2 linked regions of the Mus musculus genome follow. The protein of the gene in region 1 binds, or shares a complex with, the protein of each later gene. Links are inferred from orthologs where the notes say so. Each region holds a gene or a part of one and is shown on either strand. Other genes may lie near its edges. The genes, in order: Nhp2 and Dkc1.

Region 1 (4,506 bases):
TGACACCCTTTACACGTGTTCAAATATTCTTAGCATACAGACGATCCCCATCTTACAGGAAGGAAGCCTGCCAGCCATGTGCTATGTACTTTAGTCCTAGCTGAGATGCCATCTCAAAAAGAAAAACAAGCCACCCAGACCTAAGAATTCCAACACCTGAGATAATTCCTCAAACAGCCTCCCTAGGGCCAAGATGGGAATGGGGCAGGGTGGGCATGCGCTTCTCACCGTCTTAGAGGGGATGTAGACGTAGGGCAAGTTCTGGTCCTCGCACAGAACTGGAAGATGGCAGTACACCTCAATCGGCAATGTATCTCCTGCCAAAACCATGATCCTGCAACAAGAGAAGGCACCATCAGTTCTCCTTTGCTCCGTCTCTTTCCCTTTCAGTTCTAAGAGCTATCTCCAGCCTGGCTGTGAGGGCAGAGTCCAAGAAAATGCCCCACCCCAACCAAGGACCCCCACACTAGCCTTCAACTTCTGAAAGGAGTACAAAGTCATGTTTGGCAAATGCATTCCTCTGGGGACATGGTCTCTACTTGACAGCATGTAAATGCCACCGAATGTGACTAGAGGTGAAGTGCTGGGACAGATGAGGTACAGGAGAAATACCACGAAATAGGAACTCGGCTCTCCTTAGAGTCAGTTATGTTCCAACCAGGAGATGACCCTTGAACAGAGACTTGAGTGCCATGATGATTCCAGAATGGCAGGTGTGGGGACAGAATAAGGCCAAGGGTGGTACTGAAGGGCTGGTTGCCTTCTGCAATAGATAACTAGTGTGTGTGTGTGTGGTGGGGGGGGGGTGTCAGAGAACAAAGCTGAGAGGACTGGCAGGGATCACACCTAAGTGTTTGAGTAACACACAGACTCTGTCCCAAGAGAAAGCTTGCCAGGGCCCTCAACCATGGCTGAGAGCTGTCAGTGTACCAGACCCAGAAGTCCTGAAGATCTGCCCGGTGTAAGGGTGGTAGACATCTGTTTGCATACTCCGTTCCCTTTGGCACAAGGCTGGTCCTTTCCACTTGTTCCTTTGCTGTCCTTCTTTGTGGTCCCTTTCTCCTTGCCTTCCTGACCTATCATGGTGCCAGGGGCCACCTGAAGCTACCAGCCCCCATCTGCCCTACCAAAACATCTGCCTGTAGAATAGCTAAGCAGAGCATGTCCAAGGCATTTTCCATGTCAACTCAGGACGCCTCAGAGGGTAAAGACACTCACTGCCAAGCCTGGCCACCTGAGTTCAATCCCAGGGGCCTGAATGGCAGAAGAGAATCAGCTCTCCAAGTTGTCCGCTGGTGTTCACATGGGTACCAGATGCACATGTGTCCATACACATGCAAGTAGGCACCCACACGTAATAAAAGGTATCTAAAAACCACACTTCAGATGTTTTCACACAAACCTGGCTTTCCTCCACTGTCTGTCTGCAGTCACACACTACAGCCCAAACTAGCATGCAAAGTCATTATATGTCACCGTCTCTCAAATCCCTCAGCTGTAGCTCCTGCCCATCACCTGCCTTGGGCCATAACAGCTTACTAAGTCTGACTTGCCTCTCCTAATTCTTCCCTCGATGTCACGCCTCAGCTTGCACTCTGTTCTGAGAACACTAAACCTACCTTAGAAAGCCCACGAGGGGGAAAAAGAAAACAACAACAACAACAACAACAAACAAAACCGGGCATGGTGGGGCACGCCTTTAATTCCAACACTCCGGAGGCAGAGGCAGGCGGATTTCTGAGTTTGAGGCCAGCCTGGTCTACAAAATGAGTTCCAGGACAGACAGGGCTACACAGAGAAATCCTGTCTCAAAAAAAAAAAAAAAAGAAAGCCCAGGAGGGCTGGAGAGCCGGCATACGGGGATGCATAGCCATTTCTGGGGGTGCATGGCCATTTCTAACTCCAGTCCAAGGAGACCTTACACCTTGCCTTCTGGTTGCCAAGGGCACCAGTGATGCACCAACATATACACGCAGGCAAAACAGTCATACACTTAAAAGGAGTAACCACTTACATTGTGTAAGTGCCACTACACTGCCCTGTCCAAGAGCCTACTCTTCTCAGGATTCCACCCCCTCACCCCAAATAAACCTTCATTCATTCATTCTCTTCCTTTGTTGTTTTGAGACAGGGTCTCTATACATAGTCATGGCTGAAAACTTAAGAGATCTGCCTCTGATGGGATTAAAGGCCTATCACTGGCTTATCATTTTCTCCTTTTGGGAGTTTTGTTTGTTTTGAGACCTGTCCATAGACCACGACGGCCTTGAACTAGCTATACTTCGGAAGCTAGCCCGCATTCTCCCCTGCCCTACTTGGGAAAATGTCTCTCTACATATAGCACGTTGCCTAGAGCCTGAAAAAGTTGTGCCGTTCTACAGAGTGAATGATCAGGACTCTAGTTTACACGGGCTGGATTCCTATTCTCTTCCCTGTCATTTACTGGGAGTTCCATTTACTGGTAGTGAAGGGAGTTGACTGCTAGACTGGTTGGTCAACTTCACCTTTATTGAGTAGGTGGAATTTCTTCTTAACCAGTTAATAAGCCAAACTTAGTGCCGTAGTACTTGTGTACCGTGCACAAGGCCCTAGGTTCAATCCCCGGCACTGGAATATAAAAATAAAAACCACACAAAACTTAAAAACCAGAGGAAGCCGGGTTCTTACCCTTTCTCGCCCTTGTTGACAAATTTCTGAACCTCCTTCACCCCGCGACGAATCTGCTTCTGCTTCACAGCTACAAAGAGAGAGAAGCGTGAGCCGACACCTCGCTCACGAGGCTCGACCCCGGGCCGCCCAAGTCACCGGTCCCGGACCGCGATCGCCACGCGCCCGCCTCACCCTTCTTGATGCACTTGTAGAGCTTGCGCGTCAGGCGGCGGGAAGCCAGGGGCTGCGCGATGGGGTTCAGATTGACCAGCAGCTCTTTGTACGTGCGCTCCTCGCTGCAGCCCTCCGCCTGCGCCTCGGACTCTTCGGGAGCGGCCTTTACTTTGGTCATCTTAGCAACTACAACTCCGTCCCGGCATAGAGGAACCACGCGGCCGCCGCCTCCGACATCACTTCCGGGTTTTCAAGTGGCTCTACCCTGTGACCAATTGGGAAACTAAATATTCTACACCGACCAATCTCTAAGTAGATCTCTAGGGGCGGGATTTTGGATATGGGGGCGGAGTTAAAGGTCAATCTAAGCACGGGATTTGGATTTTCACCGCGGGAATCCCAGGGAGGCCGAATTTAGAACCGGGTTTCCAGAGGGAAAGGGGCGGGGCCTGGGGCCGAGAGGTGGGGCCCAAAGGGAAAGAGGCGGAGCCCAAAGGGAAAGAGGCGGGGCCCGGAGAGATTGAAGAGCGGGTGGAAGGAAAATACACAACGGGATTGTGTCCCCTGAGCTCCTTGTGACCTGCCTTGTGACCTGCTGCTGCTGGTTAGGTAAAGCCTGGCGCACCTGAAAGTTTTTTCATATTTTCTTTTCCCCCTCCTAGATCCTGTTGCACAAACTATAAACCGCACACCTTTGATCCCAGCAGTGGGGAGGCAGGGGCAGGTGGATCAGGTCAGCCTGGTCTACATAGTGACTTCCGCTGGGCAGTAAGGTCAGCCTGGTCTACATAGTGACTTCCGCTGGGCAGTAGTGGTGCATACCTTTACTCTCAGCATTTGGGAGGCAGAGGCAGGAGGAACTCTGAATTCAAGGCTAGCCTGTTCTACAGATCGAGTTTCAGGACAGCCAGGATTACACAGAAACAGTCTCCAAAAAAAAAAAAAAAAAAAACCGCAAAGAAAAAAGAAAAAAAAGAGGCCGGGCAGTGGTGGCGCATGCCTTTAATCCCAGCACTTGGGAGGCAAAGGCAGGTGGATTTATGAGTTCAAAGCCAGCCTGGTCTACAGAGTGAGTTCCAGGACAGCCAGGGCTATACAGAGAAACCCTGTCTTGAATAAAAACCAAAAAACAAAAACCAACCCCCCCCAAACAAACAAAAAAACACAAACAAACAAACAAAAAAACCCACTCCAGTTCCAGGGGATCTGAAATGTCTAATCTGCAAGGGCCTCAGGAGTGCATGTGCTGCACAGATGTGCTTTCAGGCAACACACTCACACACAGGAAATAAATCAATCAAAAGTTCTTAAATGTTAAAAGCAAATCTGAAAAACCAGAAAGGTAGGAAGGAAGGTGACATGTGCTGGATGAAGAGTCCAGCTAGCTAATGAGAACCCTGGAGCAACAGGAAACGGGGACCTCAGCTCTGTGACGTAGAGGGACTGAAGCTGGTAAGGGTGAATATGAAGGAGGATCCTGAGTGCCAGATGCCAAAAATCAGGCCCACATTTAGATCTGTGTTTTGTGAAGGACACAGAACTTACCTATCCCTGATTGACAACTATGAGACCTGTGAGATAGTTGAGTATGATTTCCAGCCACTAAAAGCCATCACTTGGACAGCAGCAAGAGGACCAGGATATGTCAGATTGGGATACATTCTCTGAATTGCCAAGAAAGAC
Region 2 (2,528 bases), on another chromosome or scaffold:
ACACCCATGGTTCACACATACCCCATCTCCAGTTTCGCCCCCACTTTCTAGCACAGTTTTGGGCTTCTTATCCTTCTTCTTCTTCTTTTCCTTCAACTGGGGAACTGTTGGGGTCTCATCACTTTCACTCTCACTATCCCGCTTCCTCTGTGTAAAAAAAATTCACATGAAGTTAGAAATGTAGGAAGTTACCAAGAAAGATTCCACGTATATTCAATGGTTTTGTGTCTATAAACTTGAATAGTGTCTGATTTTCTAAAGATTTGAAGACAGTATCTCACTAAATAAAAAATATAGTAAGCCATGGGGCATGATGAATGTGCCAAAGCAGCGTTGCGTATAAAAGACCCTGAGAAATTGTCTCAGTGAGCCAACTCCAAGACTTAAGGTGCTCTTTGACAACTTGCAAGTTCCACCCATATAGCTCATTACTAGTCACTCAAGACAGCAAACATACCATTTGGGGCTCTAATGACAGTGGCCCCCAGCCTTGGTTACTACCACATGCTTCACTCTTGTCCTTTAAACAGTGAGTTAGCATGGACTAGAAATATTTTTTTGGTTTCTGACAATTCTGTTCCTCCTGAATTTCATTGAGGCCTCTGCTTTCAATACACTTATGCTACCTATTTAACCCAGGGTAGAGTCAAAATATGTGTGACACATTCCACACAAGGTTATTCCACTCCACACTGTGTCACAGTGGAGGTAGGAACCAAGGTAATTGATTCTTAAGTCCATACTCCCCCTACCACAGACACAACACAAATGCTACTGAACCAAACAAACATCCTCAAGTAGGAGATAGTGTGTGTAGAGCACTGCATGGATAAGCCTGCCTTACTTGCTAGGACTTGTGGCTAGACTACCTTAAACACTGGTGTATCTCTTTAAGCACACTTCTTTCTTTCCTTTGTTGTTTGTTTTTGAGACAGTGTTTCTCCATCTGTCCTGGAACTCACTCCTGTAGACCAGGCTGCTTTACTTCTGTCTTGGAAGTACTGGGATTAAAGGCATTCGCCACCACCCCACCCAGTTTGAAGCAAGCACCTTTCAAACAGATCATGCCACTCACTTTTATGACATTTACTGCTTCAGCAGCTAACTGAGGGGCTTGTACTGCTTCGGTAACCAGTGTGTTCTTGCCAGAATCACTGAAAGACAAAGGTAATATGAGGTTAGATTCATAGAAGAGTTTTCCATGGTGGTCCTATTATATCTTATCATGCCCCTTGTTATTCAATGATACTGGGCAACCCTAAAACCCCCAATTAAAACACTGATGCTAGACAAAAGAACCAACAGTTGGTTTTACAGACTGATTATCTCCACAGTCCATGCCCTGACTACTAGTACTTACTGACCCAGGTTTCAAAGAGCCAAGCAAGGGAAAGAGTGAGCTGCATTAGGGCCTGTGGCAAAGCATTTAGCACTTATCCCAAATAAAACCGTCCATCTCCCCTTGGCTGTGCAGTTTCCTGTACTCAAGTGTACTACATTACCCCAGTCCCCCAAAGCCCATCCTTACCACCCAGGCCCACATCCAGAACTTTGAGTTGGTCTATTTCAACATCTACCCCATCTATGAACTGCTGCAGCACATAAAAGGGCTGGTCCTGCATATCTAAAGCTGCAGGATCTCCATGACATGGGGCACCAACAGAGAGGAGTCCCAGTGAGGAGCCAACATTGATAGTGTAGCAGAAGCCAGAGGCCTCAAACCAGTCCAATGATTCATTGCAAGTAAAGATGTAACACACTGTAACACACTACAGCTTCCAAAACTTTTTTCCTTATGGGGGTGGCAGTTGCCTTGGGCAGAGGATGGATATGAAGGCATGGGGAGATGAGTGCGCTTGGTGTGTATGATGTGAAATTCACAAAGAATAAAGTTAAAGAAATAAAATAAAGACAATGGAATAAACCAACAAACTCCATCCTTACCTATAGTCAATGTAATCCTGTTTCCATGTGGCAGGGGTATTGTCTGTGGGTTTGCCATGCTTGTCCAGAAGGCCCTGCTTGATCATCATCTTCTTCTGACTTGCCTGGAAGCATTCCAAACATTAGACTACTGTCAATACAGGAAGTAGCCATTATGATTATAGACTACAGCTTAGACCCAGTCTGCACAGACTATCACAAGCAAGGTTTCTTACATATTCTCAGCTTCACACCCCTTACAAAATGTCCTGAATCGTTTGTTCCCTCTTCTCTTATTGTCATCAATCTCTAACCTATTCTTCACAATAGCTGAAGTGGAAAAATCTTGCCCAGATCCATGATGAAGTTAAAACTTTCACTGTGGATACTCTAGGAACCAAGAGACCACTCCACATTTTTGACAGTCATAGTTCACAACCCCAGTGAGATTAAGTAATGCCCAAAGGTTTCTCTTAACTAGAGGGAGAATCTCTGAAGTCTAAGACAGGGCATGCCTCTGCTCACTGACAATAATCTAGAGCTTCAAATATGGCCAACAAAGACCTGCATTTGTTGGTACTTATTAATGCAAATACAACCCAGGA

What was found.
Region 2: Nhp2 (region 1) and Dkc1 share a complex: the UniProt entries of both Homo sapiens proteins name them as parts of the H/ACA small nucleolar ribonucleoprotein (H/ACA snoRNP) complex. The link is inferred for Mus musculus from reciprocal best matches to the Homo sapiens genes NHP2 and DKC1.

What each region holds. Positions count from the first base shown.
Region 1 is NC_000077.6:51,618,313-51,622,818, reverse strand, and holds the start of Nhp2 (H/ACA ribonucleoprotein complex subunit 2), read right to left. Parts: upstream 3,047-4,506; 5' UTR 3,002-3,046; coding exon 2,842-3,001; exon of another isoform or gene 2,738-2,841; coding exon 2,668-2,737; intron 335-2,667; coding exon 229-334; intron 1-228. UniProt on the Homo sapiens protein: Required for ribosome biogenesis and telomere maintenance. Part of the H/ACA small nucleolar ribonucleoprotein (H/ACA snoRNP) complex, which catalyzes pseudouridylation of rRNA.
Region 2 is NC_000086.7:75,105,798-75,108,325, reverse strand, and holds part of Dkc1 (H/ACA ribonucleoprotein complex subunit DKC1), read right to left. Parts: intron 2,049-2,528; coding exon 1,945-2,048; coding exon of another isoform or gene 1,941-1,944; intron 1,155-1,940; coding exon 1,076-1,154; intron 148-1,075; coding exon 22-147; intron 1-21.